Cricetulus griseus: one gene and its partners. The main gene of each other region encodes a partner of the protein of the gene in region 2 in a complex. Links are inferred from orthologs where the notes say so. Each region holds a gene or a part of one and is shown on either strand. Other genes may lie near its edges. The genes, in order: Pex19, Pex14 and Pex5.

Region 1 (4,665 bases), on a different chromosome or scaffold from region 2:
CAGGTCAGGCACCAAAGCTACACAGAGAAACCCTGTCTCAACCCCCCTCCCCCCCCCAAAGTAAATAAATAAATAAATAAGATTATCCCAAACTAGCCCTTTGAAAAGACAGTGTTGTGAGTGTTACTGTGCAGAACAATTAGCACATAATCTATATAGATTTATGGCATGACCATGAAGGTGACCAAAAAGAATAGGTAAGATTTTGATGTATTAGTAGTTTGCTAGTAAATGCTTTATATCCAAGCTGGTAAGTAGGTCAGTCTAGACAAGCTGACAATTAAACTCCTAGGTAATCCTGGTTCTTTTCATTTCTCCTAGGCAGTGATGCAAACTCTCAACAAGAATTTACTTCTTGCCTAAAGGAGACATTAAGTGGGCTAGCCAAAAATGCCACTGACCTTCAGGTAAAGGGAAGGAATAGGGGTCCACTCCCAGATGCTTCCTGAGCAGTCTCACAAAGTAGATGCTCTAGGGTATCTCCTCAAATCTGACCCTGCCTTGATTTTTGTTACAGGCACATCTAGATAGTTCTTTGAACCTAAAAGAGTGGTAAGCATTCCAGGAAGGCAGTGTAACCTGTTGGCCTCTCTTTTGTCTTGTCTAGAACTCAGGCATGTCTGAAGAGGAACTGACCAAAGCCATGGAAGGGCTGGGCATGGATGACGGGGACGGGGATGGGAACATCCTCCCCATCATGCAGAGCATCATGCAGAACCTCCTGTCTAAGGATGTACTGTACCCGTCCCTGAAGGAGATCACGGAAAAGGTGTGTGAGTTTCCACTTCTGCCTTTTCTCCTCACTTCATTATGTCAACCGTGGGCCACTCTGCTCAGACAATGCATAGTAAAAGGGCAATTTGAGTGTACAAGTGCATTCTTTTAAACTCCTCTTTGTCGGAAGTAGAAGAAGTTATTGAGGGAATAAAGGTACATAGGTGATCTGATCATTTTTCCCCACTGGGAGTGTCTGAGCTAGAAGGGGTAATTTCTTCACTTTAGTTTTCTCTAAATTAGTTCAAGACTCTGAGTTTGACTGATCCATTCCTTCTTCTTGTCTTTCTTTCTTTCTTTCTTTCTTTCTTTCTTTCTTTCTTTCCTTCCTTCCTTTTTTTCTCCTCAAGACAGGGTTTCTCTGTCCTGGCTGTCTTGTATGTACACCAGGCTGGGCTCAAACTCAGTGAGATCCACCTGCCTCTGCCTCCAAAGTGCTGGGAATTAAAGGCCTGGACCCTTCTTGTATTTCTTAACTTTGTTAATTTCTCCAGTAAGGATTCACAGGATTTTGTGGTGTTGTTATGAACAATTTGAGAATAGTTTAAATGATGGTCCCTGCTTGAAAAAGCTTATAGTTTCACTAGAGAAATAGAAGCCCTTCAGCATCACAGGGCAACATGTGACTGAGTAGGAAATGAGTAGCAATACCAGGAGTCTGCAGACCAGTGTTTGTATAGCCTAAGTCCAACTCTCAAGCTAAGAGCAGTTTTTATATTGTTTTAAAAAGATTTATTTTTATTTCTATTTTTTAATTAGGGGAGTGTGTGTGTGTTTGTGTGTATGTGGAAGGGCATAGCCCACTGTGGGTGGTACCATCTCTAGGCAGGTGGGCTTAGGCTATAGCAAGAAAGCTAAAAAAAAAAAAAAAACAAGCAAAACAGTCAGCGAGTAGGCAGTATTCCTCCGTGGTCTCTGCTTGAGTTCCTGCCCTCTGTGATGGACTGTTACCTGGAAGTATCAGATGAAATAAATCTGTTCCTCCCTAAGTTGTTTTTGATGTTTTGTTGCAGCAACAGGAATAAAACTAGTACAATCATCAGAGTCTAAAATGATTATTTTCTTGCTTTTCGCAGACATAGTTTACTAATCTGCAGTAAATACCAGTGTGCCCAGAGGATTTGTTGGTGTCAACAGTACTTAGTCCTTTTCACGATGAACTCGCCTGTTTAGCCTTTCTTTCCTCTTTGTTCTCTTCTCTTTACTTTTTAAGTCCCCTTCTCTCCTTGTTCACTGAATTCTTTCCCACCCGTTCCCTCTCTTCCCTTAGTATCCAGAGTGGCTGCAGAGTCACCAGGAGTCTATCCCTCCAGAACAGTTTGAGAAGTACCAGGAGCAGCACAGCGTCATGGGCAAAATATGTGAGCAGTTTGAGGCAGAGACGCCCACAGACAGCGAGGCTACTCACAGGGCTCGTTTTGAGGCGGTGCTAGATCTCATGCAGCAGGTAAAGACCTCCTTACGGTGCTTTCCTACTGGTCCTGTCCACTTGGGTGTTGACTGGAGGAGACGTCTGGAAAGGGTGCTACACAGCCTAGGTGGAGGGAACACAGAAAGGCTACATACCATGGTCAGGAGAAACCAGATCACTAATCAGATTCCTTTTGTTGCTTTTTGTGTTGTTTTCTGTGATTTTTATTCTTTTTTGATTGCATGTTCTTTTTATTTTCTAGTTACAGGACTTGGGGCATCCTCCAAAAGAGCTGGCCGGGGAGATGGTGAGCATGCTTTCTATATTTTAACCCAGTTCCCAGTTTGCAGACTCCAGTAATCCGTAGTTAATCCATATAAGGTGACCATTGTAGCTGCTAGGCATGGACCTTCAGAAGCTCTGACCTGAAATATGAGTGGGTTTCTCCGTCCCTTTATCTCTTCTCCAGCCTCCTGGCCTCAACTTTGACCTGGATACCCTCAATCTATCGGGCCCACCAGGTGCCAATGGCGAGCAGTGTCTGATCATGTGAAACACAACACGTTTTCCTCCCTGAGTCCCAGACCTGGGGAACATCTGGAGTCAGCAGAACTATTGGGAACTGAGGCAGGAATGTCGTCTCTGGGAGCTGGCTGCCCCACACTCTCCATCCCATTCAAGACTGTGCCCTGCCAGCTGCGGATCTGCTGAATCTGCTCTGTAGGCCATTTCTGTGAGCCTTACTCCATCATGTGTTCTGCTGTTAGAAACAGGCCAGCTCATTGCCCCGTAAAGGAAGACATCACTTCTTCCCACTCCCAAAAATAATGGTCTATATGGCTGTACTCATGTTCCCCTTTATTCCCAGGGACTTCGTGCCTTGTTTCTACTCCCTCTCTTGGATCTGGGGAGCAGGAGCTGAGTCCTAAGACTTTGTGTTTGTTTCTATTAGGCAGGGCTTCTGGGAATGAGGAGAAAATGTAGCTTACCCTGGGGCTGTAGGTTTGTCACCACATCTCCTTGCCTTCATTTCGAGCTCTCTGAAGGGAAAGGAATTTTGCACTTAACCTGTGGTCAGGTTGGAAGAGAAGCCCTGGGCTTTTCCTGTCCCTAGGTGCTGCCCACTTAATTCCCCTTTCTTCCTGAGAACTCAAGTTGCTACCTACCTTGGTTCTTTCAACAGCTCTGGTTTGGGTGAACCCAGCTCTTGACCTTCCTTGGCCCCTTGACTGTCCTCTTACCTCCTCTCGTTTTAGATTCTTATTTTACTCCAGCCCCTCTGAACCACTGTGACTGATGAAGGCCAATCTTGTTCCCTTTCATCTACTCCTGTGTCATTCTCTTCCCTTCCCTTCCCTAGACCCTTCCCTTCCCTGGCCAACACGTAATTGTAGTGTCAGAGCTGGTAAATGAGTGGCCATGCTACCCAGATACATTCTGGCTTACTTGAGACATCAGATTCCCTAGAATCCTTGGTTCAGGAAGATGCTTGGGAATGGGGTGCAGCCTGAGTCTTTTTTCCTGCAAGCCCCAGGGGACAGTATCTAATAAATACTCTGAGCGCATGTGTGGGTTATTTTTCATCCAGGTCTGTTTCTGATCTTCCTGAGCTTCTATAAGCTGCAGAGTAGGAAGTGTTAGGAGATAGTTCTGTGTAATGTTATGCTAGTTTCTACCATGACCCTGCCCTCCAGCTTAGCTTGACATTATAATTGATGTTAATGATATTTTGTTAACATGTTTTCTAAATTACCTAGGTTTAAATTGACCTTCTCAGTAGGTCTAAGGACCATGATTGCCATATATTTTATGGATATTCATTTTAGTCCACCTAGCTGTCTAGTTCACTTGGAAAAATAACTTAAAATATATAACATTAATTTATTCTTTGGGAATTTTATACATGTATACAATGTATTTTGATCATAATCACCCCCTGGAAAATAACGTTTGCAAGAACAAATTCACATTTATCTTTTTTGTTTGTTTGTTTGTTTGTTTGTTTTGTTTTTTTGAGACAGGGTTTCTCTGTATAACAGCATTGGCTGTCTTGGAACTGCTCTATAGACCAGGCTGGCCTCGAACTCACAGAGATCTGCCTGCCTGTGCCTCCCCAGTGCCAGCCAGTATTAAAGGTGCACACTACCACCGCCAGCCACATTTATCATTTGAGTCACTTTGAGCACATATGCATGCACGAATGCGTACACACACACACACACACACACACACACACACACACACACACACACACACTGTTAAAATCACTCTTAAAGGTCCCACACATTCTATCACATCCTATGGAAGGAAATGTACTTGAGCTCAGGCTGTGGGGACTGTCCTGCTACCACAGCTCATCAAACAGAAGACTCAGACTCGGGGTCTGAATTTGAGACTCCTCCATGCTCTGAGAAAGGAAAAAAGTACAAGCTGATTTGTGATGATGACTGGGGCCTGAACTGCCAATAATTTATTGACAT
Region 2 (4,665 bases):
AAAAAAAAAAAAAACAAAAACAAAAAAAAACAATTAGGCCAGGCATTGGTGGCGCACACCTTTAATTCCAGCACTCGAGAGGCAGAGGCAGGCGGATCTCTGTGAGTTCGAGACCAGCCTGGTCTACATGAGCCAGTTCCAGGACAGCCTCCAAAGCCACAGAGAAACCCTGTCTCAAAAAACCAAAAAACAATAAGTTAAATAACTAATTAAAAGATTTTCTAATTAAAAATGAAGCTGGGAATGTAGTGGGTAGACTGCCTGCTTAGCACAGGAGGTCCTATTTCCATCTCTATTATCAACCACTTGCTGGCACACCCATGAAGTCTCACTTATAAGGTGAGGATCTTATAAGCAGGAGAATCAGAAGTTCAAGGTCATCCTCAGCTATGTAAAGCTCAAGACTATTGGTTTACATGAACTGCTGTCTCAAAAATGGATAAACAAGGAACACATATGTGTACTTATCCTATAACAGTGGCACATACCTACAATCTCTGCACTGGGGAAGCTGAGGCAGGAAGATCCCGCCTGGGCTATTCAGTGAGACAGACAGACAGACACAGACACAGATACAGACACAGACACACACACACACACACACACACACACACACACATATGGTTTTTTCAAGACAGGTTTATCTGTGTAACAGCCTGGGCTGTGCTGGAACTCTCTTTGTAGATCACACTGGCCTTGAACTCACAGAGATCTGCCTGCCTCTGCCTCTGCCCTCTGCCTCTGCCTCTGCCTCTCTGCTCTGCCTCTGCCTCTGCCTCTGCCTCTGCCTCTGCCTCTGCCTCTGCCTCTGCCTCTGGAGTGCTGGGATTAAAGGTGTGTGCCACCAATGCCTGGGGTGGATATATTTTTTAAATGTGTTATTTATTTGCCGTGTATTGTTAGTGACAGAACATGACCAAATGAGTTCAACTTTCTCCCAGGCTGCCAGCACACTCTGACGCAATCCCATCCCTATCAGCTTTGGAAAGGAGGACAAAGGAGAGGCAGAGCTGAAGCCAAACAAGTGCTGGCCAAACCCTTAAAGACCTTAGACCCCTCGAGGCCAGCTTGGTCTTACAAATCGAGTTCCAGAACAGCCAGGGCTGTTACACAGAGAAACCCTGTCTCGAAAAACCAAAAGAGAGACTTTAGCCCCCTTCCACATGTACAAAGAGGGTGATCTCCAAGACTTTTAGTACCCTCCATAAAACTGGAGGTGTCCTGGAGAAATCAGAAACTGTGGACACATTTCAGTCCCATTCCTAAAGTTCTGGAAAACTCAGGCACCACGGCACTGGGGCAGCTAAGCCAACTCGGTGGGATAAGGCAAGAAAGGGGGATCCCTCTTTCAGAACCCTGGACAGTGAGAAGGCCAGAATCATCCCTAATTGTTGGTGCTGTCTTACAGCACACACATTACCCATACCACCAACAGAGGCCGATCTAAGTGTCTACCTCCTCTAAGTGTGATTCCTCTAATTGACTTGTCATGAGCAGGAAGACAGTAAGTGTAGTTCCCTGCCTAGGAAGGAAATGAAATATTGGCAAGTAGCTGGAAACTAAGGTGCTTCAAGGAGGTGAGAGATGAATGAGATCCCTAGGCTCATTTTTTTTCTTCTTCCTAGGTCTATCCTAATGAAGTTTAAACATAGACGGCCAACTAGCGGCGTCACTCAGACACAGTGTGGGTTGAAATCTAGGCTCAGCGACGCACGTGATTGAGGACAGGTTGCAAAACCTCGCTACCCACTTCTGCACTTTACAAAGGGTACAGGCAAGAGTTAGATAAGCGACACCACTCAGTGGCCCAAAGAGATGGCTCAGCAGGTAAAGGCGTTTGCTGCCAAGCCCGGGGACCTGAGTTCCATCTCGGCGATCCACGAGGTGGAAGGAGAGAAACGACTCCTGCAAAGTTGTCCCCTGGCTTCCATCAGCGCCGTGGCTGGCACACATACACCAAAAATAAACACAACCTAAAAGTAAGCGCGGCTTGTCTTGTGCACGGCAGCATACAAGCCCCCAAAGGGCTGTCTCTTGGCTGGCATCTCGGCGCGCCCCACTCCTCCTCCTCGGGGTTGTAAACCCCACCCGGAGGCCTCACCATCACTACTTCCCCACGGCAGAAGCCCAAGCACCAGCACTGGCCGGTCACCGAGGCGGGATTCGGTTGTAAGCCTGCAGGCGAAGCGCTCTGAGGGGAGTCCCTGGCCAGGACGCCCAAGCCCAGAGGCGCGAGGGTCGGCTCCGCGGCCGGCAGCTCGCCCGCGTCTGTTAAGTTAGGGGGCTCAATTCGGGATGCTGGCCCCCGATTAGGGGGCTGCGGCGGAGGGCGGGAGTCCTCGGGCCCTCCCCGCGGGGCACAGCGGGCACCAACGAGCCGAGCCCGCCGCTCCCCGGCCCCCGGCCCCGGCCCGCGGGCTGCTGGGGGCGGCGGTGGGGACAGAGGGGTCCCCGGGGCAGGGGCCGGGCGGGAGGACCCGGAGAGGGGCGGGGCCCGGAGCAGGGACCCAGTCGGGGGGCCCCGGGCTTCAAGGGCCCGGGGTCGCCACGCCGCTGCCAGCCAGCCGCGCGCCCGCCGAGCGACGGAGCGACAGAGCGAGAGCGAGCGAGCGAGCCAGCGCCGCCCCGGCCCCGACCCGACCCCGACCCCGACCCCCGGCCGCGGCGCCCCGCTCCCCTCACCTGGCTCGGCTGCTCTGCCTGCTCCGAGGACGCCATCTTCCTGAGGCCTGACTAATCGACCGCCGCGGGCCCAAGTTCCTCCCAAGAGCGCTCGCTCTCGCTCTCCAGGCAAGACCAGAGTAGAAGGCCCGGAGCCTGTCGATGGGGGCGGGGCCCCGGCGGCTGGGAGGTCGAGCCTGGCCTCGGCGCTCCCGCCTCCCTCCGGAGCCGAGCTCTCAGGTGTGCGCCACGCCCACGTTCTCAGGGGCCCAGGTCACAGCCAGGGGCTGTGCGGTCGCTAAACACGTGAACGTGGAAATTGACTTCTAGCCATTCGGGACAGCACTATTCACGGAGGGCCTGCTGTTTCTCACGGGTATAGCAATAAACGGAGCTAATACTGTCCGTCTCTCTCTGTGTTTTGTTTGTTGTTTTGTTTTGTTTTCGAGACAGGCTTTCTCTGCGTAGCTCTGGTTTTCCTGGCACTCGCTCTGGAGACCAGGCTGGTCTCGAACTCACAGAGATCCGCCTGCCTCTGCCGCCCGAGTGCTGGGATTAAAGGCATGCACCACCAATGCACCACCAATGCCCGGCTCTGGCAGACTTTTCTATGGAGCAGGAGTTTGTTTTTCTTCTTCTTCTTCTTCTTCTTCTTCTTCTTCTTCTTCTTCTTCTTCTTCTTCTTCTTTTTTAAAGATGTATTTATTTATTATGTGTACAGTGTTCTGTCTGCATGTGTCTCTGCAGACAAGAAGAGGGCACCAGGTCTCACTACAGATGGTTGTGAGCCACCATGTGGTTGCTGGGAATTGAACTCAGGACCTCTGGAAGAGCAGTCAGTGCTCTTTAACCTCTGAGCCATCTCTCCAGTCCCTGAAGCAGGAATTTTGAAGGACTGTCCTGCCTTATTTTGGCAAAGTTCAGCAATGACTTTCCTGTGTGTCCAGCAGAATATCTGCCAGACTTTTCTGTGGGAATCTCGAAGGACTGTCCTGCCTTGTTTGGGCAAGTTCAGCAGTCACTTTCCTTTGTGTCCTGCATGTCCAGTTTCTAAATCATACTGTCAGCAGTCAAGGCAAGGGCAGTTTCTTGCCCAAATGGCTGGCTTTGCCATATTGAAAGCAAACTCCATATGATGGTTCTTCAATGTCCATCTTACTTTATTATGTAGATTTGTGCTGCCAGGAGCAGCTGTGTCTTATTGTCATGAAAATCCCTATGTTAACAAAACATTTTAAATGCCATACCCTGAAGGTCTTTGAAGTGTTTGAAGACCATCTAAAATATATTCTCTGTATGACCTTGAAAGCATACCTAACATAACTACAAGTTTGATTGTTATAGATGACTGCTAACCTGCATTTCTTAATTATCCTAAATTGTTTACAATAATAGCTTTCAAGGACTAGAACGTTATCTTACACTTTTAAATGAATTGCATGGGTACAATACCTTACACAAGAGTAGAAACATATATACAGCATAACAAAAATAACTTTAAAATTGTATCAATATACCAAAATCCATACTGATGTAAAACATTTGAGGTTAATAGTTGTCTTTTTATCCTATATTCCTGTAACCCCACTAAATGATGACAAACATTCATAATCCACCAAATAACCAAAAACCACCCACTCCATCCTCTTGGGAATATGGGTGTCATGTTCTCTAATCTGCTTCTTGTTGTCTGAGGGTGATGGCATCTTTAGGGTACCCTGAGAATATTGAGATAATGATCAAGTCCTGGGAAAACCAGTTGTAACTTTTGTTGTCCAGTCTCAGAGCTGTTGAAGGAATCTCTTGAAGGAATCCACAGCCTTTCATTTCCTGTGCAAACAAAACATAACGTCTTCCCCAATTCAACACATTTTCTGAATTACAGTTTAAACTTAAGGCATTCCCAAAGTTTCTAGGCTGGGTTAATTCAGCAGTCACTTTTACAATCCAACGTCTCTCTTAGCAGGTATTGTTAGCTCATCATCATGCAAAACGTTTAAGCCA
Region 3 (4,665 bases), on a different chromosome or scaffold from region 2:
TGGAGTGGGGTGCAGTAACACACTGTCTTCAGGACATGGCATGCCTATTGCTCCCATGGACTCATTTCAGCTGTAGTCACCTGCATGAGGTCAAGTCAAGATCAGGTGACATCTGAGAGACAGCATTAACTGGACTCAGTGGGTTATTAATATATAAAAAGAGGAAAGGACATGAAAGGAAGCAGGACACATTTGGGGTATCTAGAGGGAGTAGAAGGAGGAGGCAGAGTTTCTTCCAGGGAGTACATGTATAAAAATGCCTAAGAATAAATAAAAGCTATTCTATTAAAAAAAGAAAAACAAAAAACCTAGCTGGGCGGTGGTAGCACACACTTTTACACACCTTTAATACCATCACTTTGGAGGCAGAGGCAGGCAGATCTCTGTGAGTTCGAGGCCAACCTGGTCTACAGAGTGAGTTCCAGGACAACCAGGACTGATACACAGAGAAATCCTGCCTGGGGAAAAAAAAAAACAAACCAAAAAGCAAAAACAAAAACCAAATCACTTACAATATTGTTACCTTAAACAAGTTACTTTATCTCAAAAAACTCAGTATTCTTATCTGTAAAGTGGTTATAAAAACAGTAGCTAGAACTTGGGTTCTCATGGAGTTTAAACAAACAACAAATTCAATGCACTTAACACAGAGCTCAGAACACAGTAAGTACACAGAAGCTAATTATTATTTTATTATTGCAGATGACCTTTACCCGAAAAAGACCATTCATTCCTCAATAACCATAATAGAATGGTTCCTGGAACGCAAAACACTACAGATTCCAGTCTCTTATATGAAAGGATCTATTTGCATATAACCCACACATCCTCCTGTTATTTTAACATCTCTAGATGACTTTTAATACCCAATATATAATATAAATGCCATGTACACAGTAATTACATGAATTAGGAAATAATGCCTACACACACACACACACACACACACACACACACACACACACACACACAGCCAGGCACAGTGGTTCACACCTGGAACCCCAGCCCTCAAGAGGTTGAGGTAGGAAGGCCTCTTACATAGGGATTTGGAGGACAGCCTGGTCTACAAGAGGCCCTGTCTAAAACTCAAAAATCATGTATACTTTTAGTATAGACATAAGGGTTCACCAAACATTCTCCATCCACAATTTGTTCGATCTACAGATAAGAAACCTACAGATACAGAGATGGCCTAGCTTCTGAACCCCACAATCCTACTTTCCAGACCCCAATTCTACTCAAGATGGCTGAATGCCAGACTCCCAGGTGCTACAGTGATGATTTCTCTCTTCCTGGGCCATCCATCCCATCTCTAGCTCCTCTCTACTAGGCTAAAGCAGTCTCCTCTTTCTCACTCTCCTCCCCCTCTCTTTTTTTCTTCATTCATACCCATACAAAAGAAAACAAAGAAAGAGCCAGGTGGTGGTGGCACATGCCTTTAATCCCATCACTTTGGAGGCAGAGGCAGGTGGATCTCTGTGAGTTCAAGGCCAGCCTGGTCTCCAGAGTGAGTTCCAGGACAGGCTCCAAAGCCACAGAAAAACTTTGTCTCAAAAGCAAAACAAAACAAACCCAGTTTTCTTGTATGTTTTGATTCCCTATGATGACTACAAGAAGTCACATCTAAAGCCCTACAGAAATGAATCAACAAGTTAGAAAAGCCATTACAGCTAAAAGTCACCTTACACCCTAAGTGGAATTAGTACTTCAGTACTAATAGTACAGATTTTCCCACAAGCCTCACCTGTGACTTCAGCGATGAATTCTTGGGACCAGTCAGTCTCATTATAATCCTGAGCTACATCCACAGCATCTCCAGCCGCAAGAAACTCCTGGGCCCAATTCTCAGACAAGGCCAAGTCTGCTACACCAGGGGCTGAAAAGAGACAAGAGAAGATAAGTAAAGGAAACAAGCACCCATCACTCCTAGATGCCACCTCCTTTGTCTCCCCACTCTGCTGACACCAGCAAAATCAAAGGATAGGAGCCCTCTGGCCTCTGTGCACAGAAAACACTGGTCTTCTCACCAGACCCTCAACCCACCTCTCTGAGGAGCCTGGCGAAAGTTTGACTGTTCAATCTCCTGCATCTCTGCCAAGAGGTCATCCATCTTGAAGGTCTGAGGGGCACGGGATACAAGGGGTGCATTCTGGTCCTGCAGGAATTCTGCCACCAACTATTGCAGAGAGATGGTGAGATGAACCATTAGGCTGAGGGGACCTCAGAAAGGGGCAGGGCCGACTGGATGGGGATACTGATGTCAGACAGAAAGAAAACAGACACTGGAGACAATAAAGAAAAGAAAAAAAAGAAAAAAACCTATCTGTAAATCTGGAAACCAAAAAGAGTAGAAGAAAACACTGACACACAAATCTCATTTGGTGAAGAGAGTTCAAAGTGAAGTATGAGTGGACTGTTTAAAGGTTTTAAAGAAAAAATCACGGACCAAAAGAGACAGAGAGAGACAGGGAAACAGAGACAGAGACAGAGACAGACAGAGAGACAAGAAACTTGTCTTATTTACCTCATCTTCAGAACCTACTCCCAAAGGCTTGGAAACCTAAGGAAGGAAGAAAAGAGGCAATATTCCAGACTACCCCACCACCACCACCACACACCAACTCTAACTACTGCTTAGGTGACCTGAGTGAGGCAAGTGAAAAGCCTTCACAAAGCCTCGGCTTCTTTGTCTATAAAACAGTTGTCCTCTGTGTCAAGATGCACGGTGCTCACACCATCGCCACTGTGTGCTAACTGCTATTACTTGTAACAACAGAGAAAGCAGCTACTGGGCTGACCGACAAACGGGCTCTCGTGCCCTAGAACACTCACCGTCTCTGCAGCTGAGGCTCCCGGGGGCCAGGGGCCAGGCCTCAGTCCCTCCTGCCGAAGGGCCTTGTCCTGGGTGAAGTGAGTGGCCAGCTTCATGAGCGGGTTGGCACCCCCACATTCGCCCTCCACCAGCTCCCTCATTGCCATGGTGACCACCAGCTCCCTGATGGACAGAAGGTTAGAACTGTGCTCCCAGAGCCAGACTTTCACAGCGCACGCTCCCGGAGCCCCGATCTCGAGCAGGTGGGCCCACCACTGTCCCACGCGGGCCAGCAGGCCTCCGGGGCCAGGCGTCCTGCCGCGCGGGCTACCCCCTGGCTGTGTCCGGAGCCCCACGGGGAGTCTCTTATCATCCGGCCTCCCCACTCCAAGCCGCGGCTTTGGGCTGGGGTCCTCCCGCAGCTGTCACCGCTGCAGCTGGGACACCACCCGCCAAACAGCAGCCCGACAAACGGGCCTGGACCCCCGGGGAGCGCGGGTACCGCGTCAGCAACCCGACGAGACGGGGACTCGGACCGGACCGGGGAGAGCGGGAACGCCGCCGGCCGTACACCGGGACCCGCCACTCCAAGTCCGGGGTGAGCGGCGGGACCGGAGCCCGGCCCGCGCGCGTCCCCCGAGCCCCTCCCCCGCCGTGCGGGTCCCGGCCCAGCGCCCGCGGCCCCCAGTCCGCCGCCCCGACCCGGCCCGACCCGGCCGCGCCCCCGCTCCCGCCCCGCAAGGCCACCGCAGCAGCAGCGGAGACTCGCGGCCCCGAGCCGCGCCCCCTAGGCTCCCAAGCTCACCGCCGCGGGCCGCACCGTAGGACCCGCCGCGGCACCCGGGGGGCTGGGGGGAGGGGAGGGGGGGGAGCCAGGGGCGGGCTCGGCCTTAAAGGGACCGCCGCGCTGCGGCCCAGCTCAACGGAAGCTGGGGAGGGGGCGGGGCCTGGAGCTGCGCGGCGTGAGGGGCGGAGCCGGGAGCCTTAAAGGGGAAGTCCTGGCCGGGCGGTCTTGGCGAGCTCTCCAGGAGTCCCCAGAACGCCGGGGTTGGTTTTGTGGGAAATTCAGAGGCATGAAGGAGCTAGGAGAGGCTTCCCGTGCTTTGGAGGAAAACCGAGGTTGCAGGATCCAAGGCTCGGTCAGCTCTTTTCCCTGAGTCTTCTCTTTCTCTAAATCGCCCAAGCAGAACCTGGGAGATTTCGTGGGGTCAAATCTGTGACCCCCCACCCCCACCCGCACCCCGCCCCTTCCAACGTCACAGCCTTCAAGGAGACGGAGGCTGGCCCCCAATTCCTCTCCCATGCCTAGGTAGTGAGGAAAATAGCGCCGGATGATGACAAATGCTGGTGACTAAAATAGGGTCCTACGCATTCTGAGACCTCAAACCGGTAATGGATGGGGACGGGGCAGTGAGTCACTCCTCTCTCCTTCCAACGTCACTACTGGTCAAGGTCATGGTGGCCTGATTCCCTCAGCTCCAAGCTGGGAAAACGTGGCAAGAAATACCTTTGATCGGAGGACTAGGAACCTAAGCCTCAGGCTCCACCATCTGCCAAACCTCAAGGTCACTGGGAAACAAACCTTGATGTCTCACCCAGGTACAAGACCCAGGCGCCGTGGGGAAGAGGAGGGGTTCAGAGTGCGGGTAGATGGGCTCGGGTGAGATTAGTGCTTACAGGCCTGACAGTCCCAACCCGGAATGCTGGAGCGAAAGCAGTCAGTCAGCAGGTGGCGCCCTGGGGCAGGCTTGATCTTTGCAGCAAAGGTAGCCTTACTTGAGGAATACAGGCTGTGTAAATCCATCCCTAGGAAGATAGAAATTGCCCTTACAGCTAGAGTGGTTGAACAAGGC

What was found.
Region 1: the proteins of Pex14 (region 2) and Pex19 are in contact, whole or in part, in an NMR structure (PDB 2W85), measured with the Homo sapiens proteins. The link is inferred for Cricetulus griseus from reciprocal best matches to the Homo sapiens genes PEX14 and PEX19. Residues at the interface, in NP_004556.1 of Homo sapiens: Leu28, Thr31, Ala32, Lys34, Phe35, Asn38, Ser39, Arg40, Val41, Ser44, Thr48, Phe52, Lys56, Leu58; in NP_002848.1 of Homo sapiens: Gln67, Phe70, Phe71, Leu74, Phe75, Ser77.
Region 3: the proteins of Pex14 (region 2) and Pex5 are in contact, whole or in part, in an NMR structure (PDB 4BXU), measured with the Homo sapiens proteins. The link is inferred for Cricetulus griseus from reciprocal best matches to the Homo sapiens genes PEX14 and PEX5. Residues at the interface, in NP_004556.1 of Homo sapiens: Thr31, Phe35, Asn38, Arg40, Val41, Ser44, Pro45, Thr48, Arg49, Phe52, Lys55, Lys56; in NP_001124497.1 of Homo sapiens: Glu59, Leu62, Val63, Glu65, Phe66, Leu67, Gln70.

What each region holds. Positions count from the first base shown.
Region 1 is NC_048598.1:20,717,750-20,722,414, reverse strand, and holds the end of Pex19 (peroxisomal biogenesis factor 19), read left to right. Parts: intron 1-321; coding exon 322-407; intron 408-607; coding exon 608-769; intron 770-2,044; coding exon 2,045-2,221; intron 2,222-2,447; coding exon 2,448-2,492; intron 2,493-2,654; coding exon 2,655-2,738; 3' UTR 2,739-3,750; downstream 3,751-4,665. UniProt on the Homo sapiens protein: Necessary for early peroxisomal biogenesis. Acts both as a cytosolic chaperone and as an import receptor for peroxisomal membrane proteins (PMPs).
Region 2 is NC_048595.1:7,300,335-7,304,999, reverse strand, and holds the start of Pex14 (peroxisomal membrane protein PEX14), read right to left. Parts: upstream 2,827-4,665; 5' UTR 2,719-2,826; coding exon 2,683-2,718; intron 1,984-2,682; exon of another isoform or gene 1,626-1,983; intron 1-1,625. UniProt on the Homo sapiens protein: Component of the PEX13-PEX14 docking complex, a translocon channel that specifically mediates the import of peroxisomal cargo proteins bound to PEX5 receptor.
Region 3 is NC_048601.1:21,899,308-21,903,972, reverse strand, and holds the start of Pex5 (peroxisomal targeting signal 1 receptor), read right to left. Parts: upstream 2,980-4,665; coding exon 2,833-2,979; intron 2,561-2,832; coding exon 2,525-2,560; intron 2,177-2,524; coding exon 2,044-2,176; intron 1,877-2,043; coding exon 1,745-1,876; intron 1-1,744.